Linked DNA regions of Canis lupus familiaris. The protein of the gene in region 6 interacts with the protein of the main gene of each other region in a biochemical or structural test. Links are inferred from orthologs where the notes say so. Each region holds a gene or a part of one and is shown on either strand. Other genes may lie near its edges.

Region 1 (4,024 bases), on a different chromosome or scaffold from region 6:
CAAACAGCAATCTATTTCTGTAATCTCTGTGAGCCTGTGCCAGGACAAGAGTAGCACATGAGACAGAAACAGGCACCGGAGTTTAGAAAGTGGATGAGGGGCAGCCCCGTGTGTGTGTCAGGGCCCTCTTTGTCTCTATCGGTGGGGGCATGCTGTCTGTGGGTGCCTGGGCGTGTGAATTGTCAGCTTTGCTCCAGGTCTGTAAGGAGCACTGCATCAATTCCAAGTTGATACTCAGAAGTCGTGGTAAAAGCTGCCAAACGTTTCCCACTCCAGGATCATCACAGTGCTCATTAGAGCTGCCTGGGAAGAAAAACTTTCTACTCGTGCATAAATCAGGCTCCATGCCCAAAACTCTAACTGCTGGCATAAATCCCTACAACAAGCTAACTCTTCTGAGATGTTTTTTTAACTAAGACTTTTAGTTTTATTATGTTTATTTTATTCCCTATCCCTCTCCACCCCCGCCAGTTTTGTTGATGTGATTCACAGACAGCAAGGTAGGAGTTGAAGGTGTACGACAGTACAACATAACCATCTGAGGTCTGTCTTTACTGCAGGACGATGACCACAGTAACAGTTAACATCCATCACCTCACAGAGTTACAAGTTTGTTTTTCCCCTTGTGACGAGAACATTTAAGATCTACTCCCCTAGCAATTGCATTTCTGGGTACATATCTGAAGAAGGGGAAACCACTATCTCAGAGAGATCACTGCATTCCTATCATTACCCACAACAGCCACAATACCGAAACACCCCCCAAGTGTCCACTTGGTAAAGAGAATGTTCTGAGTTTCATATTAAATTATCTGAAGTTGCACAAAGCTTCCTATTTGCCCATACTACCCCTTCCTGAGGCTTGTATTATTGAGCTGAATGCTAAAATGGCCACATGTCAGAATTGTTAGGGTCACAGACCAGCCCTTGGCAGAGATTTTCCTAATAAATTCAAGTATATTACAACATCCCAGAGTACTATAGTTGATAAAATGCCCCTATTCTGAAATAATGAGTTGGAAACAGAAAAACTAACCAGAATCAAAAAGTGAGGACATCCCAAAACATGTCAAAATTCAGTTCAAAAAATACCTTTATGGTGGGACTTCTATAGTTTCCTTATTAGCACAAAAATATAAAATCGACGTTGACCATTTAAGTTTTAATTAGGAACCCTTCGTCAGGCCCAGGGACAGAATATCTTACTTCATCTTGACGGGGAAGGAAGGGTCTTTAGTGACTTGCCCAAGCAGCTTACAGAGGTCTCACTAGTAAGGGAAGCAGTATTCCTAATCTTGTTTTGAATTTCAAATAGCATGATTATTTTGTTTGATACCTGACCTAAGTATAGGCAGAAAGGAGTATTTTTCACATTTTTGTTCCCTCAAAATAGTCTGTCTATAGAATCAAAGAAACAATAACCCATAGCCTATATGTGTTATGGGACCTCACTAACTGAACACCACAGGCAGCTCCGGCCGATTTCAGAAAGCTCTTCCTTACTTGGGGCCAAGCTGACCGACAGGGCCCTCGCAGGTGGCCATGCAGGTGGCCCTGCGTAGCAGCCCTAGGTCACCCGTGTCATCTGTGCACTTCTGTGCTTAAGTTACCTTGTGGGCGCCGATAATATCAGGGAAGCAGCCAAGGAAGCCTTTATATTCATGATTACATTCCATGAGGAAATGAAGATCTTTCTTTGGCTAAAACAAGACACAGGGTGGTTATTCCTGGCAGAGAAATCCAGACCATCAAGGCCAAGAAAACAGTTGCCCAGAGGACTTGCATGAGCCAAGCCCCTGGGGTACTAGTTACCATACCAAGGGCTATGCAATCAGCCTAGTTTTCCTGCAAGAAAACAGGCCCCAAGACTACTACATTCTCAATTGTAGATTGGAGAGAAAATCATAAAACATCAGATCGTTTTTAGGCTGGCTGATAAAAATTAGTTATTTTGAGGCGGCTTCAAATATAATACTATTAGGGGGGAAAACTGGTTAATATTACTCATACACAAGCAAAGAAGATGTAGTAACTTAATGTTTAAATTTTGGCAGAGAATGTAAATTATTACTAAAGATCTGGTAACTATCTTAAGTGGCAACTTAAAATATTTCAATTTTTCTGAATTATAATTTTAATAGCTATGTTATGCATTTCTACAACCTAATCTTTTTCTTTTCTTTTCTTTTTTTTCAACCTAATCTTTTTCTATAAGGAGCAGTAGTCAATGACTAACACGAAGGGGTGTGCAACGGGTGTATGTGCACAAATACGTATTTCAAGAAGTTGTCTGAAAAACTTTTAATTTAGGGATTTGAGACACAAATGTCAACACAGATGTCTATTCCCCTTAAGGGAATTTGTTATTGGTTATCTGTCAAAAGAACTGGAATCAGGACTACTGAAGGCCTCAGTAAAAGCCATGTGACTCTATCAAAGACCTTCTCCCTGCCAAATCCCCCACTGGTGCCTTCTCCTTTGTGGCTGCTGAATGCTGAGAACCTTACAGAGTAGGCTCTACTACCACCGTTTACCAGGTGGGTAAAGCAGCCTCAGACAAGCTAAGAGTCTAAATGGTGATATGAACGGTGTTCCTGATAGAACATTCCAACTCCTGATGGCTGAGGATGGATCCAGCCATTGACACTGGAAGATACTCATTTAGATTTCTCGATGATAAATGTATCCATCACTTTAGCTTAACCAAAGAAACACTATTACCATATACAATTAACAAAAGATACAGAGGAACATAAGAGGAGAGTTGTTGGCAAAGTTTGTTTTAAAATAGGTTGAAAGAACATGTGGATTGGACAGCAGCTGCTGTGCCCTGGAGCTACATGGGTCTCTGTGGATACCTGCTCTGCCACAAGACCAGCAATTTCTTCGTAAGTCTTTCCTGCTTCGGTGATGGCAGCGTTGAGATCCGTTTCGCCTGGAAATCATTACAGCTACATCAGTGGTCATATGTACTTTCCCTTCGCGTACTTTACTTAAAAATCTTATTATAGAAAACACTATACTTTTCAAAACTAGAGGATAGGGTAACAAGTTCCCATCTACCCATCCCCTGGCTTCCCAGTGAACAACTCATGGCCAGTCTTTCTGCAGCACCCATACTGTCCGCCCCTAAAGTCCCCCTTTCACTGGCCATGTAACAATGCACCCATAAATTTGACCTCAAAGATAAGCACACTTTAAGTTCTTTTTTGTTTTGATTTAAGATTTCACCTTTTTGAGAGAGAGAGCGCGTGAGAGGGAACGAGCATGAGCAGGGAGTGGGCAGAGAAGCAGATTCCCTGTTGAGCAGGGACTCTGGGGTCATGACCTGAACTGAATGAAGGCAGTTGCTTAACTGACTGAGCCACCCAGCTGCCCCAAGATAAGCATTCTTTAAAAAGCAAGGACAATATCAACACAACACTGGAGACAAGGTAACTGCTCCTGATAATCCAGTAAGTGGACAGCTCCCTGGAGTCTGGAATCAAGCTCGCTGCTTTCAGGACTCAGAGAAAGTCCACATCATAGAGAGCTGAAGTGTTTCTTTAGTCTTTAGGTTCTTTCTCCTCCCTTTTTTCTTGCCAATTTCTTTTCGGGGGTATTGAAGAAACTAGGTGCCTTGGTACCCACAGTCTGGGTTTTGCTGTGTCTGTGGTGATAATGCAGTCCTCTGTTTCCTGTACTATCTAAATCTCTCATTTTAGGAAAGGTTTGCAAAGTGTTGCTATTCTACTTCTATCACTCCTTCTTGATCTGAAGCATTTCTATTTTTTTAAAAAAGATTTTATCTATCTATCTATCTATCTATCTATCTATCTATTTATTTATTTATTTATTTATTTGACAGAGAATGAGCACAGCAGAGGTAATAACAGAGGGAGCGGGAGAAGTAGGCTCTCTGCTGAGCAGGGAGCCTGACACAGGGTTTGATCCCAGGATTCTGGGATCATGACTTGAGTTGAAGGCAGATGTTTAACTAACTGAGCCACCCAGGCACCCTGAAGCACTTCTATAAAGAGAAACT
Region 2 (4,774 bases), on a different chromosome or scaffold from region 6:
TGCTACTCCCTCTGACTGTGTCTGTGCTTCTCTCCCTTTCTGTGTGTCTCATGAATAAATAAATAAAATCTTAAAAAAAATCAAGGATTAAAAAGTTTAATCTTTAAGAAATTTATTTTACTCTCATTCAATTCTGCAGTCCCAAAACATAGTGGCTTCATTTTTTTTTTTTTTTTTAAGAAACAGTTATTAACATTCCAGGAAACCAGTTTCCTGCAAAATATACTTCAGGAAGCATTGTCTAAAATGACCCCTTATATTCATGTAGCTTTTACTTTTATTTTTAAGTTTTGGGCAGAAAGGAAACATTTTATATCCATTATCATCTGACCTTTGTAATGTTCTGCCAAGATAGAAAATAATAACAGTAGCTCCATTAACTGAGCACCTGCCCTGTGCCATGATGTGCTGTGCTGGGCACTTTACTATGAAGCACAGTAAGTAAGGAGTCCCTGCCTCTGTTTGACAGCAGAGGAAGTGGGCTCCACGAGGGACAAAGGGCTCAAAGATGTCCTCTAAGTCACAGCTGGGAAATAGCCAGGCCTGCTTAATTCCACAGCCTGGGCTTTCAACCCCCAGGAAAAGTTAAATCGGGAATTTAGGGTCCCATTGGACAGAGGAGGGGACTTGTCTCCCCAGACATGGGCCAGGGCATATCTGGCCCTCCTGCTCTATCTTGTCATTCTCTTCCCAGATTCACCCCATACTTCCCTGCTGCTCGGCTGCTCCTCAGGGTCCCTTTCCTGTGCATGACGCCTGGCTGGGACTCTTGCCACTTAAGACTAGATCATCAGAGTCAATCCCTGCTCAAATTGGAGCAGTCACCCCATGGGCGTGGCCCTCGTTGACTAACAGCAGCAGAAAGGAATGGAGAGGCCCAGATGTGGGACAGGGCTCCAGGCCCCTTTCCTGCTGAGTCAGAAATGGAGGAGGGTGGTGAAGATGAAGGAAGTCTGAGTCTGCCAGGACTGGCCAGGTCAGGCTGGGTTTCAGGACTGGCAGACCTCATTCTCCCATGCCAGCTTCTCCCTTCCATGGCAAGGAAAACTAGACTCCAAGGCCCTCCCCCACACTGCTCTTCATCCCAACCCCACCTACCCCCTAAATCTAGCTGTCAGAACAAGATTACTGTGTACACTGTGGGTGCCTGGGGACTGATTCACCTGGGCTGTAAGGAGGCCACAACAGGTCCTAGATGCCAGACATTTTCAAGCCAAAGTTAAGTCAGGATAATGGAGCTACCATTTTATCAAGCACTTCATAACGCCAGGCACAGTGCTAAGGGCTCTCTCTGCACTATCTCATTTTTTTTTTCTTTTTAAGGATGTTATTTATTCATTCATGAGAGACACAGAGAGAGGCAGAGACAGGTAGAGAGAGAAGCAGGCTCCATGCTGGGAGCCCGATGTGGGACTTGATCCTGGCACTCAGGATCATGCCCTGAGCCGAAAGCAGTGCTAAACTGCTGAGCCACCTGGGCATCTCTGTCTCGTTTATTTTTTATTTTATTTTATTTTTTTTTCTGTCTCGTTTAATTTCTGCAACAATTCTCTGCTTTATCCTCACCGCTGAAATGAGGAAAGAGGGTCACCAAGGTTACACATCTCACCCCAGGTCAAACAGCTGGGAAAAAGTAGAGTTTGAATCAAGGTCTGGATCGAAAACCCGTTTTAGCCACTAACCAATGCAACTTGGGTCTCAGGTCTGACCCACATAATATTCTTTTCTGTATATCTTGTATTTTGCTAGGGTTTGCAAAATCTGGGGTGGGGGTGGGGCGCACACACCAGTTTTCTTAGTCTCCAAACCAGGATGGGGGCAGGTCCATAATCCCTCAGAAAGCTGTCATTTGCCTAAGGACTTGATCAAGTTACATCCCCTTTCTGGCCTCAGTTTCCCCATTTCTAAAATGAGATGACCATTTATAACTATATAGCCACGCCCCACAGCCCCCCACCGCTGCAGGAAGTTGGGAGTCTTTCCTCCCTTTCTCTTAGCCAGACTTAGACTCACAGCCCAGGAGTTCCTGGGCCCTCACTCACCACGTACTTGGAGGGTGGGTCCTTGACCACGTTGGCGCTGGTCACCTCGAAGAGCAGCCGCTGGGGCACCAAGGTGTTCCGGGACTTCTTCCAGAAATCCTGCAACTGCCTTGCCAGGGGCTGACTGCCCCGCTGCCCATCAGGTGGGGGGCTCCGTTCTGCATGAGCACACGACCAGTCACATCAGTGGGCCTGGGGCTAAGTTAGACATAAACTGTGTATGATGCCCACCCTCATCCTCCCAACAGGTGAGATAGGCTTTATTTCCATTTGACATAAATGGAAACTGAGGGCCAGAGAGGGGCCAGGTGCCAAAACCATGCCTGGCAGATAGTAGGCTCTAAATACCTCCATCCCGCAAAACATGGCAAGCACATTATTACGATTTGTATCCCAGACCCTGTACGTTTAATGCCCGCAGCAGCCTCGAGGTGGGAGTGATTTACCCCATTTGACACGAGGGAAAACTTGGCTCAGAGAGGTGTTGTGACTCTCTCAAGGTCACACAGCCAAGAGGTGGCTGGGGAACAGGGCTAGGGTGGAGGCCTAATGGAGCCCCAGGGTTCCCGCCTGTCCTCGGGAACTCGCCTGCATCTTCTCCCGATGCCCCGTCCCCGGAGGGCAGGGGGTCGGGGCCAACCTCCCCGTCGTCCTCGTCGTCCTCGTCCTCTTCGTCCTCGGCGCTGGTGAAGCTGAGGGTGCCGCTGAGGCGGGAGGACAGGCCCTCGGCGTCGTCGTCCTCCAGCTCCGAGCTCTCCGGGAACTGCTCGGCCTCCGGGCCGGCCGCCGCCTCCCCCGGGTTGTCGCCGGCCAGGGCGTGCCGCAGCCGGTGCAGGAGCCGCGAGGCCATGGCACCCTGGGGGGAGCGCGCCACGCTGGGTCCTGGGCGGGGGCCGGAGGGAAGACCCTGGGCCCCGCGCGGGGAGGAGGGGCGGGGCCCAGGCGGCGGGGGGAGGGGCGCCGCGGAGGCCCCGCCCCAGCCCGTTGGGGGTCCCGCGGGCCGCAGGCGTCGCCGCCCCCCACTCCCCGCGCAGACTTAGGGCCGCGCTCTTGCCGGGAGAGGCCGCGAGGCTCCCCTCGTCTCTCCCGCCCGCTCGTGCGTCTCTCCCTCCTGCGCTCAGGGGCGCACGGTACCCCGGGGGCCGGGCTGCAGCCCCGGCAGCTTACCGAGGCCGGCCGGGCTTCGCCGGGCCCAGGCCGCTCCCAGCGCCGCTCCGGCCGCTTCCTGCCGCCGCCCCGCCCCCGGCCCCGCCCGCTCCCCGGAGCCTCCCGGGAATCCCGGGCCCTCCGCTCCGGGAGGGACTTGGGAATCCTGGGTAGGCCTGGGCGAACCCCAGCCCCCCTGCGGGATCGTACCCAATCCGCAGGGGCTCCCAGCCTCCGTGAATCCTCCCACCCATCCCGAAGACCCGGCCTGCCCCGGCGGGCCCCAATCTATCCCACAGTCTCCATCCATCCAGCACTCCCAACTTTCCAAAGTCAGGCGACAGCGGGAGGCCCATCACTCCGGTGAAAAAAATTGAGGCCAAGGGAAGACATGCTATCCGAGTTGGAGTCTGACTTCGAACCTAGGTTTTCTCCTGTGTGAAACAGGAACATTTCAAACTAGTACTAATTTTGTAATTGGTTCTTGGAAGGACCCTGATCCAGTGCCTGGCGCAGACCTGGGGCTGACATATCCATCAGTCACGTAGCGATTATTGTTTCTACAGTGTTCACAGGTTCTTAAAATCTCATTTGAGCCTCACACATAGGAAGTAATAAACGGGGAAGTGAGATCCAGAAAGGCAGAGTTATTTGCCCAGAGTCACACAGCTTGCCAGAGGTTTCTGAGTGTGGGGACTTGCAGCTATGAGTTCCTCATTCTGTTCTTTTCCGATACAGAAGGCCTGGTAATCTCAGCAACTTCCCTGAAGGGCTGTGTTTTACCTTTTATCGGGAGGGCAGGAGTAGGTCAGAAAGAATTAATTGTCACTTCCTGTCAAAAGCCCTCGTGATCAGTCCCTAGCAGGGCAGATATTGTTTGTTATACAACTGAACAAATAAAATCTCTCTGACAATCCTTCCTACTACCCTTTTTGAATGGCACAGGAGAGACAGGTGGGGGAAAGTAGCTTTGAATGGAAAACACAACACACTCCCTGCTCCACTATGTGCAGAAGAGGCAGGGCTCTCAGTTTTTGAGGTTTGACTGCGTCCTACACCCTGTTCTAGGCACTTTACATAGGGTGACATCTCACACATCTTGGGGAGGGAGCTATTATTGGATAACAATGGTCCTTTTTCAGGATGAAGAGCCAAATTGACTTTCCCAAAATCCAGAGCAAGGAAATAGGGGAGCTGGGATTTATGGCCAAGTCCCATGTAATTTCAAGGCTCTAGCTAATTTTCATTCCACTTAGCGTAGGACATTGGGGCAAAAAAGACACACTTCATTCCTTAATTTATTCAACACTCACTCATTTACTGAACAGCAAACAAGAATATTAACTTTTGGCATATGTCTCACAAGTCTGGGTATAAAAGACAAAACCATGGGTTGTCAGAAATCTGGTCTGGTACTTCTGTTTTTTACAGATGGGAAGTTTGCAGCTCAGTGAGAGGAAGGGACCTGCCTTGGGTCATACAAACAGGACGAGAACTAGTTCTCCTGATGTCTTATATTCTCTCCATTATCCTGGATTCTGTATAATATCTCCCTAAAACTGCCCCTAGAGATGGTCATTAAGTTC
Region 3 (3,601 bases), on a different chromosome or scaffold from region 6:
CAAGATCACACCCTGAGCCAAAGGCAGATGCCCAACCACTGAGCCACCCAGGCATCCCGAAATGACAATATGCTAAAGACGCCATATTTACCCCAGTTCTTTGAGAAACCTAAGAAACTTACTCGAAAGTTAATATGGAATACTAAAACTCTAAATAACTATCTTTAAAGAAGATTAGAGGGCTGGTTCTACCAAATATTAAGGCATATTACAAGGCTATTGGTATTTTTTTAAAATGGATATTGGTGTAAGAACAGTTAGATACACTACTAGATGGAACAGAGATTTCAGAGTAGACAATGTATAAGTCAGAGGAAAGATGGATTTTTGGTGGATATAATGTTGGAAATGGTTCACTATTTGGAGAAAAATAAAACAAAAAATCCTTACCTAAACACATATAGGTGGATTCTAGATGGACTAAGCCATAAATATGAGAAAAGTAAAACAATGAAGTTAATAGAAAGAAATGTAGGAAAATACCTTATGACCTCAGATGTAAAGACCCTTCAGAAGCATAAGCCACAAGGCAAACAAAACCAAGAAAATATTAATTTGATCACTTCAAAGTAAGGATATCTATTCAGTGAAGAATATCCCAGGCAAAATTCATCGATGATAGGATCGAAGAAGATTATTACAATGTCTGTAACTAACATGGGACTAATTCTTTGAGTATGCAAATCAGCAAGAGGACAGTAACCCCCATTTAAAAAAGAAAAAACAAAATAGGCAAAGGCTGTGAACAGGCTAACAAGAATACAAAGAGATGTCCAAAATTATTAGTAATGAAAGACATGCAGATTAATTATGAATATATCACTGTATACTTAGTAGACTGGCAACAAATAGGAAATTGGAAGATGCTGAGTGTTGGTAGGGGTGTGGGAACACAGGGATTCCAATGCTTTACTGCTGGGAATATTGTGAAGGGGTTCAGGACAGGGCCCCCCAGAATGTGCCACTTTGGCATGTGGGTTCTTTTGAGCTGAAGGCACTTGAGAGCCTGCAGGCTCAGGAGAAACTTCTGCCCCTCCCTTAACCACACAGAAGAATCTAAATTAGGGGTCTTTCCCAGAATAAAGGTTATAAGCAGAGATAAATTTTATCTGAGTGGCCCATCTGTATGGCAGGGCAAACATCTAATTACCAAACATCTGCTCTTCTTATCACCCTGCGTTCCTTTTCTTTGAAGTCCCAGACCATTAACCCCCTTCTCCTTCTTTCAGAATAATAGGTATACCTCATTTTGCCTAATTGTCTTTGGAATTTCCATGTGTATGTGGATTCCCCTATGTACACTATTAAATTGGATTTTCTCCTGTAAATTGTCTCATGTCAATTTGATTCTTAGTCCAGTTAGAAGAACCTTTGAGGGGACAAGAATACTTGCTTCCCAACAGTGGTCTAGTGTGGCCATTCTGGAGAACAGTGGTAGTACCGAATTAAATGGTGGGTGCACATACCCTGTGTCTCAGCAGTTCTGCCCTGAGATAAATCCTAAGAAGGTTCTCATTCAAGTCCATAGGGGACCTGTATTCATTGAAGTGCTTTTTTGTGCTGATGACAAGTAAGGGGACATGGTAAGCATTTTCACTGGGAGAGAGGAGGTGAAATCAGGTGAATATACATGGAGTATCATGCAGCAATCAGAAGCTACTGATTAGATATTCACATAGGAATCTGGATGGTTCTTAATAAAATGCTGAGTGAAAAAAGAAACAGTGAAATATAAATTGAAAATAGATGAAAACACAAATACAGATTTTGTTATGAACGAATACAAAATAGATAAACACTAAATAGAATGCCATACACGCGAGGAGGAAAAGGAGACTGGGGTGGGTGGATTTAAAACAATAGAAAAAATTTTTAAATATATATTTTTTTGACAGGCAGCAAAGCAGAGTTTATTGAGCGATAGTAAAGTGATGGTACAAAGCTCCCGAAGAGGGAGGGCCCCAAGAGGGTTGCCCGAAAAATTTTAAAGTTTTTAAAAAAGAATAAAGAACTTTTCAAAAGTGTTCCTAAGGATCTTTAAACTTGAGATGGAGCAAATAATAGAGATGAGGAAAAGGAAACTTCCCTGTGGTAACTTTTGTTTTCCCAATTTATATAGGGTGGAAGCCTTGAGAGAAGCCGCAACTGCTGTTGAGCAAGAGAAAGAAATCCTCCTGGAAATGATCCACAGCATCCAGAATAGCCAGGATATGAGGCAGATCAGCGATGGTGAGAGCATTTCCACAGAAGGGAGCTCATCTTTTCCACTCTTTCATGGGATTTAGGATAAGTGTGGGTCCATTTTCACTTGACTTGAGGAATGAGTACACTTGGCTTCAGCATTTCCCATGAGTAGCGGACAACAGCTGTCAATTTATTATTACAAGAACCATTTACAAAAAAAAAAAAAAAAAAAAAAAAAAGAACCATTTACCCAGAGGTCACCCTTCTGGCCTGCTGCCTACCTCAGGGGCATGGTTAGAAATGTTAAAAAAAAAAAAAAAAAAAAAAAAAAAAGGCCTCCAAGCTCCAGAAGAGGTGGTCCCAAGCAGTAAGGTGATGCCTTTGACCTCAGGTTTACAGTCCTGACTTCAATTCCTCAGAAGTTACTGGATGGCAGAGAGGACAAACGAGAGGGGTTGAGGTATTGAGATAAAATCCAGGGGAAAGAAATAATGGACCCAATAAAACCCCATTAATGTAAAAATGTGCTATCATTTCTATATGAAAAGCATGAGTTTCCGTGGAGGAATAGGGCACTTGTATTTCCTTTCACTGGCGGTGATCTTTCTAATTTGGTTGCTCCGGGGCCTCCCTAGACAAGCTCATGGTCCAACAGCTGGTGCCATGAGTGTACAGTCTAACTCCAGGCCCTGCACGGTTAGACACACATGGCAGGATCAAGATCTGGCCGGTCTTTTCATCATCCTGGCCAAAGATTGATGAATTAAGAAGGGGGTTACAGGGAAAAAAAAAAAAAAAAAAAAAAGGGAGTTACAGAACAGGACAAAGAGGAGATTACTGACTTTTTCATGTAAATAATGAAATGTGGATCCTTTTTCCCACCATTGCCTCTCTGTGCTGGCCAAGACTTAGAAACCACTGGCCTGCTTAAATTTCCCTGGAAAGGATGAGTCACTGCCGAATTTCGAGGCCAGCTTTTTCTCCACCATCATGGTTATGTTTTTTTCAGCCAAAATTGGAGCATTGTATTCTGATATCCATGCAAAATATACCATCTCAAATTTTGCCTCTTTGGCATAAGAATTATTTCAAGCTGATTATTTTTGAGAAACTGCAGACACAGGAGAAGCTCTGAAAACAGAATAGAAGTTACTTGTTTGTAAGGGATGTTTACATTTATAAGGGATATTTCCATTTGTAAGGGTGCCTGCCTCCGTGTACCAGGAAGGATAACTGTGAATCACAAGAAACCCTTATATACGCCAAAGGCAAAGCAACCCTTCCCTGGTTTATCCTGCTTTTACTGGTAACCTCACTAAAGAGGGGAAGGCCTCCCTCAACATCTTACTCCTCAGCTGAAGATGGTTTTTAAGGTGGTGGCTTGGGCTCTCCATCTGAGAGGGAGGCCATCTCAGTG
Region 4 (4,024 bases), on a different chromosome or scaffold from region 6:
GCCAGGTCTTTCTATGGAAACCTTCCCAGGACCGGCTGTGTGTATAAGTGGTAATATTTCCTTGCAATTGTCATCTTTCAAGGACAGTGGTACACAGACATTGTCCTCATAAATCCTTCTGGGAAGGTAAGAGGACTGTTTCATGTCCTATAACAGCTGTTGACCAAGCACTCAACAGGAGGTGAGGCCTTGGATACAGTTGGAGATTATGGGACTTCACAGAGGTGGCCTCTGCCATGTGCACACGTGCATCCTGAGGGTAAGCAGAGTTGTGCTTGGGCTCCCACGAGGAGCTGAAGCCTAAGGGGAGGGATGTGGGGTCAGAAGCCTTGGCTAAGCAGGCCTCCTGGGGCAGCTGCCTCACAGCTCACTGCCGAGCTATACCACATCGCCACCTCTGGCCACACACTTGTCTGGAAGTGAGAGGACAGCTGGGAGAGAGGGTGCTGGGCCCCATACATGGTGGCCTGGGGCTGGTCTCAGTGTGCCCCTTAGTGTTTGGGGCTTCAGGGGGGAGCACAGAAAGACACAGTCTGAGGCCTAGGTAAGGATTCAAGCACCTTGCACAGTGTAGCCCTGAGTGCTGCACTAGAATTCTCATGTGCACCTGCCGACTTGTACCCGCTGCAAGGCCACTGGGCCCTTGGTCCATGTGAGCCAGACTCCTGGCATGCCAGAGGGCCGTCCACCCAGTCTCTGCTCAGAAACACCAGTGAGTGTGTGTGTATATGGGTGAGTATGTACCCATTTAGAGCCAGACTTGTGGCACGGCCTGGTCTCAGAGGCAGGGCACATCCACTGGGGGCCACTGGGGATTGGGCCAGGTAGGGCCCCAAGAGACAGGGGCCAAGCCTTACAGGTGGCTTCTTCACCAGGACCACAGGGGCACCTGGTTGAAAGGGATGAATGGGGCAGATTGGGATGGAAGAGCTGTCAGTTCAAAACCAAAAGGCTTTTTAATTTTTAAAAAATTCAGATCTTTACCCAACATTGGTGCAGAAACAGCACCATTCTAAAACCTTCCCAGTGATGAAAAGTTCTCTTGCCTTGTTTCTCCAGGGGACTACCCTGGCCCTTGTTATCTGTGATGGTGCATGGGGGCATCTCCAGAATGCAGCCACTCAAGAATAGCAATGGGGGTGGGCTCTTTAGAGGGCCCTAGGCTGGTTGCCACACCCTGGTTGTCAGGGTGGCTCCAGAGCCACCTGTACATACTGCCTGGACAGGTACCTTTCAGCATCTTCACGGCAACGGTCGTGTATCCTGCTTTGCCTTTTAGCCGGAAAGCTGTTGCCTTAACCACTTTTCCAAATTCACCTTCTCCCAGAGTTTTTCCAAGAACTAAGTTCTTCCGAGGGAATTCCCACTTAGGATCCTCCTATGTGGGGTTGGAGGAAAGGGAAGAAGAGGAGAAGGGAGAAAGTTGGTGAGGGTAAGAGGAAAAGAAGAAGACAAGGCTCATAAATGAGTCTCCAATGGACAAGCTCTGGTGTGCAAACTGCCACCTGGACTAGTGGGCAATGGTTATCTACCTGCACTGAGAGTGGGACCCCACAGTTGGGCAGGACCTGTACCTTATGGAAAGATAAACGTTGCCACAGAATGGCCTGGACTCTGGATGCCTGGATCCTTGCTTGTCCCCAGTCTACCGAACATGCCCTTGGCCATCTCGGGCTCATGTCCTTGTTTCTCAAACAAGGAGTTTAGGGCTTACTAAGGATGTAGAGGGTGTTCACATAGGAGTGTGGCGTCTTTCCTGGGAGATGAGCCCAACCTTCCCGGTACTGTCCACAAGCCACTGATGTCCTACAGACTAGGCCCCAATCTGTCCTCTCCAGAGATTCCTAGGACCCTGTTGGCATTAGCAGCCTATGCTGCCTCCCAGAACAGGACCCCTAACTATGGATGGAAGTGTCCTTTTCTGTGTGGTGCCCCAGAAAAGATATCACTAGGGGGGTTGGAAGCCTCCATCCTGACATGTGGAAGAGGCTATTCCTCTCATGGGACTGGCCATTTCCTTGAACCTGCATCCACCTGCTACCATGCTCCCCTCTACCCATCTTGCCTTCCCACTAAAATCTCACTCAAGACTACTGTGGGGGGGTGCCTGGGTGGCTCATTCAGTTGGGCATCAGTCAGTTGAGCCTTTGGCTCAGGTTATGATCCCAGGGTCCTGGGATCCAGCCCTGCATCAGAGACTGCTCAGCAGGGACCCTGCCTCTCCCTTTCCCTGCCACTCTGCTTACTTGTTTGTGTGTGTGCACAATCTGTCAAATAAATAAATAAAATCTTACAAAAAAAAAAAAAAAAAAAAGGAAAGATTACTCTGGGACATCTTCCCAGACCCCAGCCTGGCCCCAAATCTTTGAACTCTGACCAGGGAGGCTGAAACCTCCCTTCATGTGCCGGCAGTGGGCATCTATTGCCCCAACTCTCCCTGCAGCTGGAGGTGGGTGTGGCCTGGGGGTGCTGCTATGATGAACCCTGCCAGACTCGCCTGACTCCCACAGATGACACCATTGGGTCCTCCGGCCCTGCCAAGCAGAGCCATGCTTTCCAACACCCAAGTATAGCTGTGTTTGCCCCTGTGGGCAGAGGTGACCTCCTTTCAGCACCGTATCTAGGGCTCCTGCTGGCCAGCTCCTGGGCATCCTGGTGTTGTCTCGGGTTCTGCAAGAACCCACAGTCAGGGGTGGAGTCGACAACATCATCATTGTTACCCTCGTGTCCTTCCTCCCCATTGCACCAGATAGGCATTCGCTGCATGTGGAAACTGCACTAAGCATGTGTGGATAGCACTGATTTGATTTTCTTTAGGGACATTAAAAATTCTCTCTGCTTTATATTGAGACAACTAAGATCAAGCAGTTGAGTAATGTGTCCTTAGAGCTGGTCAGTAGGCCCTGGGCTGCAGACTAGGCTCTGGCTTCTCCATGCTGAGGGCCCAAGCTGGTGTAGGCGGAGGGTGGTGTATGTTCACTTGTACAAGCACCTGCCAGCACTGCCCTTCCTGTGTACCTCACTGTACACTGCCTGGGTTTATAAAGGAGTCAAGTGGCTCATCCCAGAGGCTGGCTGTGGTGGCAGAGATGCTTTACAGGACAGGGGTCACATCCCATCTGTGTAGTGACGGGAACTAGGAAAGCTAGGAGAGAGGCTGCAGTGTCTGCCACCAGTGGGAATGGCTCCCATGGCCCAGGCCCACACTAAGGGGTGAGCACCCTTGGGTGGCACCTCCAACAAACCTTAGCCACCTCCTAGCCCTGGTTGGATACTGCCAAAGGCCAGTGGTTCCTGAATTTTCTGCTTGGAGGCTCTAGTCAAGATGCAATGTTCCCTGCCAGGCCTTGGGGGTGGAGCTTCTATTCACATGCACATCTTCTCAGCCCCACTTAAGAACCTGGTTTCCTGGAGCACTTGGGTGGCTCAATGGTTGAGCTCTGCCTTTGGCTCAGGGTGTGATCCCGGGGTCCTGGGATCGAGTCCTGCATCAGGCTCCCTGCAGGGAACCTGCTTCTCCCTCTGCCTAGGTCTCTGCCTCTCTCTGTATCTCTCATGAAAAAATAAAATCTTTAAAGATTTTAAAAAAGAACCTGGCTTCCAGCTCCTCAGCAGTTGCCAGCAGGGATACAGAAGAAGCAGGGCAGGTTGATGGCAGGCCTAGCAAGGAGGAGGTTCTATGGAGTACCCAGTAACTATGGGCCCAGGCCCTCCCATGGAGAAGGGGGAAGGGGAGCCTACTGGCTCTGGCTGGCACTCTCTATCAGGCAGCTGGTTACAGAATCCTGGGGCCTGCCTCCTCCACAGCTGGACCAGAGGCCCCACAGCACCTCTTTTTTCACTCCACAGATGAACTCCCCTCCCCACTGCTGCCACCCTGGTCCAGCCCCTGCCTGCCACCATCTTTTGCCTGGATGAGGAGAGCGCCTCATCATAGGGCTCCCACTTTTGCACCCACCCCATAGATGTCCCCACAGAGCAGCCTGCAGAAATGAAGGCAGAATATAGGCTTCCTCTGCTGAAC
Region 5 (3,185 bases), on a different chromosome or scaffold from region 6:
AATGAATAAATCTTTAAAAAAAAAAAAAAAAAAAAGGAAAAAGGTAAAAGAAATGCAGATGCGCAATTCTGTTTTCATAAAAAGAGCACTGAGCCATGTCGGTGTATGCAGGTGCGTGTGTGTGCATGTGTATACACAGAAGCACCTAGAAAGCTACGTTCCAGTTAACGGCGGTTACCCTAGGAGTGTGCCGGGTGACTTACTTTCTGGACTTCCCTTCCGTTTGACCGTTGTCACACAATGACAAAAGTCTGAAGAGCGACGTGGCGTCTGCTTACGAGGAGAGGCACAGCGTGATTTCCGTCCGCTGCATGCCGGTGGCGCCCTCCTCCGAGTTTCACATTCACGGGCTGCGAAGCTGCACAGCGACCGGGGGAACGCGCGTCCATCTCAACACGGCAGGCTGTACGGAGTGAGTCTGGCATCGAAATATCTCAGTCCCTAAAGTCAAGTGAAAACTTACACACACCACTGAGGGCTCACCAGCAGGATTTTTTTTTAGGGTTATTTATTTGACAGAGAGAGAGAGAGAGCGCTCAAGTGTGCACACGAGTGTGGGGAGGAGCAGACGGAGGGTCTGAAGCCGACTCCCCACCAAGCAGGGAGCCCGATGCAGGGCTCAGCCCCACGACCCTGAGATCATGACCTGGGCTCAGTGCCAGCCACGTAACCAACTGCGCCGCCCAAGCTCCCCTCGTAAGAATTTGTGTGTGTGTGTGTGAGAATTTTTGATTAAGAATCTGCTCAGTCAGAATGAGAACAGGCTCCAGACACGGAGTCTCAGGACCGCCGGGTGAAGACCGCCCCCACTCAGGAGAGCGAGAGCCCCGTGCGTCAGAGACTGCGTGCCGCCTACAGGGCCCTTTACTAGAGAATTTATTTGCTTCTAAGACCGTCAGACCGTAATTCCTGTCTTCGAGTCGAGGGTTCAAGGCAGAGGCGGAGGCGCTCACTGGTCTTTGAAGCTGGCCTTTCTCTTTTCCACAAACGCGGTCATCCCTTCCTTCCGGTCTTCCTGGTGGGAGAAGGAAAATAGGTAGAGATGGACGTTCCCGGTTTCCTACGGGCGGAGGCACGGGCTCGGCCCGTTCTGGGTTTGCTCTCGGTCTGCTGGGCTCCTCTGACAGATTCCCAGGGTGGGGAGGGTCCTGCCCCGGGACTGCCTGCGCACCTGCGCATGGCCTGGAACCCCGGCCACCGGAGCCCCCAGGGGTGATCATCCAAGAACCACCGCTTCGTGTGTCAAACTCTCACCCAGGGAGCCTCAGACGCACCTGCTTGGGCCGTTCACTAATTCGCTCCCTGGGTTTAGTGGCGGTCCGCGTGGAGGACCATCCTGAGCGCCATGGAGCAGGACACAGGCGTGCAAGCCCTAGCCCTACACCTTCCCTGCGCGTACGCACGAGCGTGCACATGGTCACACGCACGCCTTCACTTCCTCGAGGGCCACGGCCGTTTCCGAGCTCCCATAAAACACACCTGTCTAGGACTCTAATCGCGGCAGGTGGGTTTCAACACCTGTTACTAGAAGGACTGCCTCTCGCTTACTGTCAAATCCTGCAGGACACTGTTCTGAAGCCTCAGAACACAGCATTAGATACATTCCAACTCCACGCCAAGTCGTTGGAACGATCTAGAAAATTACGGCAGATGGATTGCCTTTAAATACAGGAGGCTGCCGTTTAAGGGCGCGATTCCTGATTCCTGAGACCTTGGTCAAGGATGTAACGCTTCATACTTTGGGCAGTTATTTGCTAATTGTGCTCGTGGGCAGGACGCATCTGATCCAGCTGCAGGGCGGCAGACAACTCATTTACCGCAGCCCTACGGGGACCTCCCCGGCGCGCTCTCTGGCTGGGCCCCGCGTCCATCCACCCCGACGCTCACTCACAGTAGCGAAAGTCGCGTAGAAGAGCTTCTTCTCCAGCCTGTTTCCCTCCGTTAGCGTCATTTCAAAAGCTGAAAAGAAATCCCTTAGGTTATGACCCAGGGGCAGATGTGGGAACAGACAACTCTTCATGGGGACAGGAAACACTCCCCACTGACCCAATCAGCCTCGATTTTGTCGTGATATTGTGACCTACACGGTCGCCTACGAAGACCCCCCCCCCCCCGCCCCCTGCCCCCGGCTTCCCGCCGGCGGCCCCACAGGAGAGGAACAAGGAATGGAGTCAAGAGTGCGACGGCCAACTCTGTGCAAGCACAAGAGGACTGGAGGGCCAAGAGAATCACATACTACTTATTAGTTTTTAAAATGTTATGTTGAGAGAAACTGTGAGCGTGTACAAGCAGGCGCAGGGGCAGCGCGAGGGGCACAGTCACAAGCAGACCCCCGCTGAGCACGGAGCTGGAGCTGGAGCTCGGCTCCCGACCTGACATCACGACCTGAGCCAGGAGTCAGATGCTCTGTGGGCTGAGCCACCCAGGTGCCCCCCCAGAATTACATATATTTTAAAAAGCATTAAAAAATGAGAATGAAGGGGCAGCCCGGGGGGCTCAGCAGTTTAGCGCTGCCTTCAGCCCAGGGCGTGATCCTGGAGACCTGAGATCGAGTCCTGCGTCAGGCTCCCTGCATGGAGCCTGCTTCTCCCTCTGCCTGTGTCTCTGCCTGTCTTTCTTCTCATGAATAAATAAATAAAATTAAAAAGAAAATGAGAATGAAGGATGAAAACCGTAAAAAACGTTGTGCCATAACAGAGTCCTGGGCGGGCAGGGCACTGTGGCCCCGGGAAGGCGAAGTGGTGTCCCTGGCTGAGCACCTGGACGGACAGCAGGCGCCTGGACAGCACAAGCAGCGGGGGCCGCCCCCGCGTGAGCTAACTGCTCATTCTGTGGGGACGCATCACCCACGGCGGTTCAGCCAAGGCCAGCAGCCCGGGGGGCCCGCCCGCCTCCCTGCAGAGGAGCCGCAGACCCGAGCGCCCGGCTCACAGCCCCCCAGCTCGCAGCCCCCCGGCAGGCAGTGGCGAGCAAGCCGGCAGCTGACCCCAGTGCCGAGGACAGCAGGCTCCGTGAAGACACAAGGATGCTCAGTGGGGCCAGAGCTGCCCTGCCGGTAGGGCGGATGGAGAGTCCGGGGCAACAAGGAGCAGCCTGCACTGTCCGCGGTCACCCGGGTGTCCCATGAGCCTGTGCCGCCCGCCAGGCTGCCCCACGGCAGGCACAACCATTGGCCGAGGACGGGG
Region 6 (4,024 bases):
TGGGGTGACCTAGGGGACCCAGGTCACAAATTTTCCTTAGGAAGCAATCAATGGTCCCAGGCATACACTGCCCTTTAGCAGGGCCTGCTGCCCTGTCACTGGTTTCCTGGTGGCACCTCATAACACTCTCCAGCGTGCCGATCTGATGGCCAGCAGGAGGACTCTGGTCTGCGGACCTCCATCATCCAGATTCTCCATCTATCTCTACAGATCTGGCTCCTTGTGACAATGTATCTGTGACTCCCGTGTCACAACCACCTGAAGTGCTCTGACAGTCATTCGCAGACAGGTGCAGAGCAGTGAAAAAGGTGAGTCTCCCTTTCTGGAGGCCCCATGCTTGTGTCCCGTCCACCTGCCCTCCTGGCCTGCCCGCTCACCCGATTGCAGGTCCTCGTAGTCTTTGATGTCATTGTCAGGCATCTGCTCCACCAGCTGCTCCAGCTGCCTGTCTGTGAGATACTGCACGTCGTCGCTCAGGCTACGGCGCTGCTGCTCTGCCAGCACAGCCTCCTGGAGGCTCAGGTAGCTCCTGGGGATCTGGGGTGCAGAGGGGGCAGGCTGGGCCCCTCAGGTCCTGAGGTGTGCCCGGCCCACCCAACCCTGCTTGCTGCCCTCGGAGGCTTGAGTGTGTGAACTTCCCTTCTCGCTGCCCCATCCCCAGCCTTCCCCACCCCTGCCCCAGAAAACTGCTCGCATGGGGGACTGTTGAGCCTAAGCCCGCAGCACACGTGTTTGACAATGGGGGGGCTGGGAAGTTTAGATTCCTGGCGAATAGGGAACAGCCCCTCTGGCTTCAGTGGGATCCTGCCTACGGTACCCACCAGCCTCCCCGCAAGTCTCTGGCAGCCGATGGTGCTGCCCACATCCTTCATGTTGCACGTGACATGGAAAATCAGCTGCCGTAGCCCCTCCTGGCCTTCCAGACTCTTACAGGAGAGCTCACTGTGAGTGCAAAACAGAACGTGATCACTCATCACACCTCTTCTCACTGACAAGTTCTGCAGCATCTGTGTCCCAAAATTTCATCCCTAAGGCTGGCAAGTTAAAAGAACCCATGAAGGGTGAACACAGAGAAATGTATTAAGCTCTCAGTGCAAAGCTCTGTGCTGGGAGCGATGTAGTATGTGTCCTGAGGAGGAGGAAAGTGAGGACCAAAGGTGCCAGGTGACACCCCCCACCCCCCCAAGGACACAAGCTGGAAGGGAGCACACTTGGGGTGGACCTGGTTCTGGCCCAGGGCCAGTGCCCCTATTTTATCGCCGGCCTCAGGGTGTCCTCAAGGGCACACGAAGAATTCCTGAAATTCTGCATCAGGACCAGCCAGATCCTGCATTCTGGGGCAGGTGGAGGTGTCCCCAGGTTGACCCTGCACCAAGGTCTGCAGCACTCCACCCAGGGGGAGTGGGGTGAAGGAACCTGAGAGCCACCAGCACAGCAACTCACACTTCATTCCTACGAGAGAATGCTTCCTTAACTTGCTGGGCCTGTTCCATCGCCTGTGAAGTGGGCACAAGGACTCCCATAACCCCACAGGGCTGTCGTGAGTCAAGAGAGAAGCAACAAGCCCAGGGCTCTGGTCCCACTGGCAGTGGCCGGGACCGCTCAGACCCAGTGTGAGGACCAGGACCACACCTGGGTCTGCGATTGGTCAGAGATCAGCAAACGTGACGAGTGGCAGGCACACGCATTTCTATCTCCTGGTCCCATCAGGGCCATGCATGCTCAGCATTGGCTCCAGCGGGGAGGGGACCCCGAGGGAAGCATGGAGAGGGTGTGCCCAGGCTCTGCCCTGCCTGCCCACTAGAGGCAGCTTGCCCTCCCCGGGGTGGTCTGGTCTGCTCTGGCTCAGGAGCCCTCTGTAGGCAGATCCCGGTGGCCCCCGGCAGATGGACAGGTGAAGGAGCAGCAGCCTCAGCCACAGCCAGGCACCAGGCAAGAGAGAGCAGGACACTCACTGCAAGTGTTTGAAGGTGATGTCTGGGAAGCCTGTGGCCCGGGACCCGGATGGTGAGCGGCAGAGCGCCAGCACATAGGCGCGCAGCGTTGCAATTCTCTCCACTCGGAATTTGGTTTCGATTAAGTCCAGGTGTGTTCCGACCACCAGCACCACAGCATTTGGGGCCTTGGCCTGCCAGAGAGAACCCCACAGCTGAGCATCGGCTTCCTTTGCTCCAAGAAGAGACTGGGACATAGCTCCCGGGCACAGAGGCGAGCCGACCCTCGGCACCACCCAGGACTGTGCCCCACACTCCGCTCTGTAAGCCTCGAGGGCATGTTATGCACCGAGGGGTTGCATGAGGCACCCCAGAAGAGCTGGATTTCTGATCCCCTCAGCCTCTATGTCAGCTTCCTGTGGCTGTGGCCTGCATCCAGGCTCTTGCCACCTTGACTTGTGAGACGGGAGCTCTGTCTTCCTTTTGCGTCCAAGAGTCGGGGGTGGGGGCTCTTAAATTTAAGAGTGCTGATAATCACCTGGTCAAGGAGGGTTTGAAGCGCTTCACTGCGACCTGATTCTGGGTCCTCTGAAAGCCTGCCAAGATGCCAAGCGTTTCTCCCTGACCATTCCTTTTATTTCCGCAGTCAAGGGGATGCTTCAGAGCAGCGGCAGACCCCCTCACCCTGCTCCCCGTGATGTTCCGAGGCCCGAGAGCTGCAGGGCTGGTGCCTCCTCACCTCAATGTTGAGCAGCCAAAACTGGAGGCTGGCCACGGCCTCCTCTCCCAGTGCCAGGTTCCAGACCACCACGTACAGGGCCTTGTCCGTGAAGAAGCACTGGTTGACAGTGGCCATGCTGGCGGGGCCTCCGATGTCCCAGACGGTGAATTCCACAGAATCCACCTGCTTGTGCAACAAGAACAGTGACAGGAGGCAGTTAGGGACCAAGGCTATAGCCAAACACGTTGAGATGGCTCAGGCACAGCACGGGAAGGGCTTTCCTCATCCTGCCATTTGTCTCAGGAATCAAGTAACCCAAGAGAAGGACTTCTGGAAGCTCCTATCTACCGCCAACAGAGCAGGGGGCCCGGCCCTGGATGGCTGGCTCCTGTGGGCTGGGGTGTTTGTGTCCAACTGTGTCTGCAGAACGCTGGGGACACTGTTCTGCCTCTGTCTCTGCTGCAGATGGTTCCCTACTGGAGGGGACACCCAGGTGCTGACGTCAGCACTCACCCAAGGCTTAAACTCCATCGGTGCCTGCGAGGGTGAGGCCGAGGAGATGGGCCTCTGAACTTGCGTAGGCTGGGAGGCGGCGCCCACCAAGGATGATGGGCAGCTGCCCTGATGTGGGAATCAAACAACAGATGTGCTGTTGTGCTGCCAGGAAAGGCTGTGTAAACGGTGGTTTCTCTATTGTCCTATGAGGTCAGAGTCTGGCCCCAGCAACTAGGACTGCAGTTTCCTGCAGCAAAGAATCGTTTGCACGACATTGCATTTTGGCCTCCAAGAGGAGGCCAAGACAAGGCGTGCTGACCGGCTTTTGCAAAGGCATGAAAATGGACAGCTGTTCTGAACTGGCTGAGGGCCCAGACACACGGGCAGTGACACAGCTCAGCATTCGAAAGGTTAGGAGGGGAAATTATAATGCTGGCCAAATGGAAGTGGATGCCAAAGGACAGGAAAAATGGAAACAGCAATTCACCTCTCTGACCTCGGAAAGCATTTGAAACAGACCAGTTGAAAGAAAGTGATACTAAGTCACTACTCAAAAAAACCCAAAAACCCAAAACCAAAAAAATAGGAGAGAATCCAGAGATTATGGGTGACTTTAGAGACGCTCTGGACAGGAGTTAGTGAGATTCACTCCTGGGGTGTTCAGGGGTGGTGGTGATGGTACTGCTGGTATTAAGTAACCAATCGTTCTGGCGTTACAAGGCATTACAAGGCATTACAGGGCAGGACCCTGCTCTCTAGAGGACAGTTTAAATGCCTAATGACCTGAACTGGAATGCCTGATTTGGAAAGTGATTTTGTGTAAAAGACTTTTGCAAGGAAACCTATCTCTAGCTGGCCCTGTCCTGGGGGCTGT
Region 7 (4,461 bases), on a different chromosome or scaffold from region 6:
AATGGACTAGCTTGGGACAATACAGAAATGGCTTCAACTGTATCCCTGGAGTAGTTTCAGATTTTATCTAAGAGCCTCTATCTGATTGGGAGGGAACAGCTCTATTTATTACAGCACTATACACAGGATTGAGAAAATTAAAGATTTTCCATATCAGAGAATGGGGGGAGGTGGTGCTGGAGGTTATAGGGGTGCCCAAACCCCCCAACCGTTACGTGTTGTGACTCTTGCACGCTTTTCCTAGTTTTGCTTTGGGACACAGCTCTGGTAGCTGAGCTGTAAAGACAAAGTCAGAGCCACCTGGGATGCTTCTTACACTGCTCTACTCTTAAGATTCTTAACAACCTGAAAAGAAAAAAAACAAAAACAAAAAAAAACTTTCAACAGTTTTAAACATTTGGAAATAGGCGGAAAAAAAAAGAAGATTTTTTCCAAACGGGTGTGGTAGAAAGAGTAGCTGGGCATTGGAGTGACATCTGGTGCGGCCACTTAACTAGTTTTGTGCCCTGGGAATACCTCATTGATTTTGCGCCTCTGCTTTCCCACGGGCGAATTGGGCAGTTAGGAAGGATCGGTTTCAGGCTGACTTGTCCGGCACCTGCCACCATCACCTCCGGCGGATTCTGGAGGGGCCTGTGTACCTGCGGGGCGGGCCGAGGGTGGGGTCGGGGGGCTGGGGGGGGGGGGGGGGGGACTGGTAGAGGCGTCGGGGATTGTTCCGAGCTGGGAGCTGCACTGAACCAGAGGGCGCAAGCCAGACACATAAATGTCCTGCTCCGAATGCCACTGAGTCCCACTAAGAAACGCTGATAGTCACGAAAAATCCCTCCAACTTAGTTTGAGGACCTCACTAAGCCCTGGCCGCCTGGGCCCCGTCCGGCACACTCCCCCGGCTTCACCAAGGGCGAGTTTCCACTTCCATCCCACTTCTCAGAAGGCACCTGCCGGGGGGGGGGGGGGGGGCTTCTTTTTTCTTTTTTAAAAGATATTTATTCGTGAGAAACAGAGAGGGGCAGAGACACAGGCAGAGGGAGAAGCAGGCTCCCTGCAGGGAGCCCGACGCGGGACTCGAAACGGGGTCCCCAGGGTCACGCCCCCGGTCGAAGGCGGCGCTCACCCGCTGGGCCACCCGGGCTGCCCCTCTTACTGCTGTTTCACCATTACCTGATTAGTGTCTGCCTCCCTCCACCCCTCGGTAAGCTCCACAACGGCAGGAGTCGGGGACACGTGTTGGGGGGTCACAGCGGCGCTACAGGCAACACTTTTCGAATAAACCTGAAGAGCCGAGCCGACGAGCCGCGAAGAGACCCCCGGCGCCAGCGCGCCCCGCCCCCTCGGCTTACGTAACTTCCGCCCCTCCCCGCTCCTCCCAGCGCCCCCTTCCCCTCGCCTGTGTTTGTTTCCGGTGTTTCAATAAAGCTCGATTCGGCTCGAAGAAGCCCCGCTCTTCCGGGAAAATGGCGGCTCCCGCTCGTACCTCGGAGTCCACGCCGGCGGCGGATCCGGCGCCAGCAGCGGGGGCTGCCGAGGGAGCCGAGTGCCCGCCGCCGCGCCAGCCGCAGCCCCCGCAGAATGTCCTCGCTGGCCCGCGGCTTCGAGCCCCAAGTTCCCGAGGACTTGGGGCGGCGGAGTTTGGCGGAGCTGCGGGAGATGTTGAAGCGCCAGGAGAGACTTTTGCGCAACGAGTAAGCTGGGGTCCCGCCGAGTCACCGCCAGGCTTCTCCGGTCGGGGCTCCCTGGGACGCGTTCGTTGCCCTCCCCCGCGTCGGGTTCCCTGCCCTGGAAGGTGACCTTCCCTCCGTCAGACCCGGGGGTGCCGCCGGCCCGCGGACGGCCTCCCGCCGCACAGGCGGCCGCGCGAGGGCCCAACGGCCGGCTGCTGGAGTCTCAGCTGTTCCCTGAGTCCTCCGCGGTGCTAATGACCTTGCTACCCCGACGGCTCCCTGAAGGGAGGGGCCGTGGCCTAAATCCCGTGGCACCTCCGCCTCCCTTGCCGCCCGGACCGGGCCCAGGACACCGGGTCAGTTCCGTCTCGGTCCCGTTCCTACGGGAGCTGTAGGAAGGAGAGGGAGAGTCTGGAGTGCTGCATTAGGCAGGAAAAGTTTGTCCCCTCCAGCTGGCCGACTTCCCTTTAGCAGGTGAACAACATAATGAGAGTGATTTTTTTATTTTATTTTTTTTAAGGACGCTTCATTTAGCAGATCGGTGCAGGATGGTTTTGGAGGAATCCGAGGCAGGCGACAGCTGGAGGTTATTTTCAGAGAAGTTCCCAGCAAGGGGGACTGTAGAAGAGTAGTTGTCGGATTGGGAAAACTCCGACCAGGCGTGGAATAATCGGGGTAGGTAGTTGAAAGGGATGGCTGAAGTTCCCAGCCTGTAGGGAGGACCACTGGTAAGAACAGGAAAATTGGGGAAGAGCTCCGAGGTTGAGTTTACTCGGGGGGTGCTGAGTTGGACAGGGAGTTAGTTAGATGTACTTAGAAGATAGAGTAGGGGGACCCCTGGGTGGCGCCGCGGCTCAGCGCCTGCCTTCGGCCCAGGGCGTGACCCCGGAGACCCGGGATCGGGATCGAGCCCCACGTCGGGCTCCCTGCGTGGAGCCTGCTTCTCCCTCTGCCTGTGTCTCTGCCTCTCTCTCTCTCTCCCTCCTCTCTCTCTCTCTCCTCTCTCTGTGTCTCTCGTGAATAAATAAAATCCTGGGGAGGTGGGGGAAAGCTAGAGTAGTGGTCATGAGGATCCGGAGAGAGAAGGCTGAGGACATGTAGGAATCTCAGCTGGAGAGGGATTCGGTGTTGTAATTGTGGGAAGGAATGTAATGTGAGAGAATGGAGAGCCAGAGGTGTAATCTATCTTCCCTCCGTTTCTAATAGAGATTAAAAAAAAAAAAAAAAAAAGAGAGAGAGAGAGAAACTGAAAAGGAATTTCTGTCAGTCAGCAAAAGGGACAAATGACCATTTGGGAGCTTTCGAGTAGGTTCAAGTACTTTGTGAGAATGGTTTTTTAAATCTATAGCAGCGAGTTAACCTTTTGGTCTCAGGACCCCATTTATACTGTTAAGACTTAAGGAGCGTCCCAAGGAGCTCTTGTTTTACAAGACACATCTACTGGTGTTTTACAAAACATCTACTTACAAAACATCTACTGGTGTTTATTGGTGTGTTAGGAATTACAGGTGAGAAGGGCACTTGGGTGGCATCATCGGTTAAGCGTTGGATTCTTGGTTTTGGCTCAGGTCGGGATCTCGGTGGGGAGATCAAGCCTGGCGTCGGCTCCAGGAGTCTGCTTGGGATTTTCTCTCCCTCTGCCTTTTCCCATTTGTGGTCTTGCGCTCACTCTCTTCCCAAAAATAAATAAATTAGAAAAAAAAGTAATTACAGGTGAGAGATCTTTAAAACACAAGAATACACAGTGATTAGCCATCAGAGCAGTATCACGTGGCCTCTGGAAAACTCCCATTATACCCATATGAGAAAAGGAGCATGGAAATGGCAAATAATGGTTTAGTATTATTATGAAAATAATTTTGACCATGCAGACCCATCCACGTCCCCTCCTTAGGAAGGCCTTGGACATCACACTTTAAAAACTGCGAGTTTTGGGGTGTATTATAGGATATTATGTGCTTAAAATACTTTTGCTGAAATTCTAATTAGACAGATGAGGAATACTTATTTCTGCATCATGTATTTTTAGAGTATTTAGATAATGCGTTTTACTTTATTCCTGTTCTGATGCAGTAGGAAGTCAGATTTTTGGCTTAAAGATAGATTTTTTTTTCCCTTTGAGGATAATGCTTTTGTCTTTGTATCTCAAGTTTAAAAACATGATTCTAACAAATACATGTGTGTTTTTTTCCCCATTTAACAGAAAATTCATTTGCAAATTGCCCGACAAAGGTAAAAAGATCTTAGACTCTGTTGCCAAACTGAAAGCTGCCATTGCAGAATGTGAAGAAGTTAGAAGAAAAAGTGAACTGTTTCATCCTGTTAGTTTAGACTGTGAGCTAAAGCAAAAAGCAATTGCAGTTGTTGATGTGGACACAGATAAGGCCCAGAATTCTGACCAGGTACTTGATACTTCATCACTAGTTTGTGGCTCTTCCTCTGTAAGTAACATCAAGTCATCTCAAACAACCTCACAGCAACAGGGACTTGTACATCCTTTTGGTGAAAGCTATGAAGAAGCTCCAGAAGTGGAGTACACAGTGAATAGGTGCCCAGCCTCCAGCAGCAGAGCCCGTGCACCTTCCTCTTCCGAAGCTAATGTGCGTCTCCCTCAACATCGGGTTTCACGTCAAGCAGAAGATAATTCTAGCAGCTCTTACAACCTGTTTATTGATAAGTTACAAAGGATCACAATTGTGGACCCGGGTGAAGGGCACTCAGAAGAGAGCAGGAGTGCTGAAAACTTGGGAAGGCTCCGTAGTGGGGCACAGAAGAAGCCTCATTACATGGAAGTGCT

The links.
Region 1: the proteins of LRRK1 (region 6) and SNX9 form a complex in vitro, tested with the Homo sapiens proteins (2 studies listed by BioGRID and IntAct, with this or other methods). The link is inferred for Canis lupus familiaris from reciprocal best matches to the Homo sapiens genes LRRK1 and SNX9.
Region 2: the proteins of LRRK1 (region 6) and SNX21 form a complex in vitro, tested with the Homo sapiens proteins (2 studies listed by BioGRID and IntAct, with this or other methods). The link is inferred for Canis lupus familiaris from reciprocal best matches to the Homo sapiens genes LRRK1 and SNX21.
Region 3: the proteins of LRRK1 (region 6) and BAG2 form a complex in vitro, tested with the Homo sapiens proteins (2 studies listed by BioGRID and IntAct, with this or other methods). The link is inferred for Canis lupus familiaris from reciprocal best matches to the Homo sapiens genes LRRK1 and BAG2.
Region 4: the proteins of LRRK1 (region 6) and RET form a complex in vitro, tested with the Homo sapiens proteins (2 studies listed by BioGRID and IntAct, with this or other methods). The link is inferred for Canis lupus familiaris from reciprocal best matches to the Homo sapiens genes LRRK1 and RET.
Region 5: the proteins of LRRK1 (region 6) and ECHS1 form a complex in vitro, tested with the Homo sapiens proteins (2 studies listed by BioGRID and IntAct, with this or other methods). The link is inferred for Canis lupus familiaris from reciprocal best matches to the Homo sapiens genes LRRK1 and ECHS1.
Region 7: the proteins of LRRK1 (region 6) and POLR2M form a complex in vitro, tested with the Homo sapiens proteins (2 studies listed by BioGRID and IntAct, with this or other methods). The link is inferred for Canis lupus familiaris from reciprocal best matches to the Homo sapiens genes LRRK1 and POLR2M.

What each region holds. Positions count from the first base shown.
Region 1 is NC_049222.1:47,942,187-47,946,210, reverse strand, and holds part of SNX9 (sorting nexin-9), read right to left. Parts: intron 3,435-4,024; exon of another isoform or gene 3,328-3,434; intron 2,936-3,327; coding exon 2,859-2,935; intron 1,701-2,858; coding exon 1,611-1,700; intron 1-1,610. UniProt on the Homo sapiens protein: Involved in endocytosis and intracellular vesicle trafficking, both during interphase and at the end of mitosis. Required for efficient progress through mitosis and cytokinesis. Required for normal formation of the cleavage furrow at the end of mitosis.
Region 2 is NC_049245.1:33,764,998-33,769,771, reverse strand, and holds the start of SNX21 (sorting nexin-21), read right to left. Parts: upstream 3,255-4,774; 5' UTR 3,210-3,254; intron 2,943-3,209; exon of another isoform or gene 2,899-2,942; 5' UTR 2,893-2,898; coding exon 2,631-2,892; intron 2,201-2,630; coding exon 2,043-2,200; intron 1-2,042. UniProt on the Homo sapiens protein: Binds to membranes enriched in phosphatidylinositol 3-phosphate (PtdIns(P3)) and phosphatidylinositol 4,5-bisphosphate. May be involved in several stages of intracellular trafficking.
Region 3 is NC_049233.1:24,632,637-24,636,237, forward strand, and holds part of BAG2 (BAG family molecular chaperone regulator 2), read left to right. Parts: intron 1-2,119; coding exon 2,120-2,229; intron 2,230-3,601. UniProt on the Homo sapiens protein: Co-chaperone for HSP70 and HSC70 chaperone proteins. Acts as a nucleotide-exchange factor (NEF) promoting the release of ADP from the HSP70 and HSC70 proteins thereby triggering client/substrate protein release.
Region 4 is NC_049249.1:4,110,698-4,114,721, forward strand, and holds part of RET (proto-oncogene tyrosine-protein kinase receptor Ret), read right to left. Parts: intron 1,607-4,024; exon of another isoform or gene 1,379-1,606; coding exon 1,231-1,378; exon of another isoform or gene 157-1,230; intron 151-156; exon of another isoform or gene 1-150. UniProt on the Homo sapiens protein: Receptor tyrosine-protein kinase involved in numerous cellular mechanisms including cell proliferation, neuronal navigation, cell migration, and cell differentiation in response to glia cell line-derived growth family factors (GDNF, NRTN, ARTN, PSPN and GDF15).
Region 5 is NC_049249.1:41,450,677-41,453,861, forward strand, and holds the end of ECHS1 (enoyl-CoA hydratase, mitochondrial), read right to left. Parts: intron 1,960-3,185; coding exon 1,892-1,959; intron 1,016-1,891; coding exon 950-1,015; 3' UTR 755-949; downstream 1-754. UniProt on the Homo sapiens protein: Converts unsaturated trans-2-enoyl-CoA species ((2E)-enoyl-CoA) to the corresponding (3S)-3hydroxyacyl-CoA species through addition of a water molecule to the double bond.
Region 6 is NC_049224.1:40,399,926-40,403,949, forward strand, and holds part of LRRK1 (leucine-rich repeat serine/threonine-protein kinase 1), read right to left. Parts: intron 2,839-4,024; coding exon 2,674-2,838; intron 2,129-2,673; coding exon 1,956-2,128; intron 943-1,955; coding exon 822-942; intron 538-821; coding exon 378-537; intron 1-377.
Region 7 is NC_049251.1:23,182,383-23,186,843, forward strand, and holds the start of POLR2M (protein GRINL1A), read left to right. Parts: upstream 1-1,438; 5' UTR 1,439-1,572; coding exon 1,573-1,685; intron 1,686-3,867; coding exon 3,868-4,461.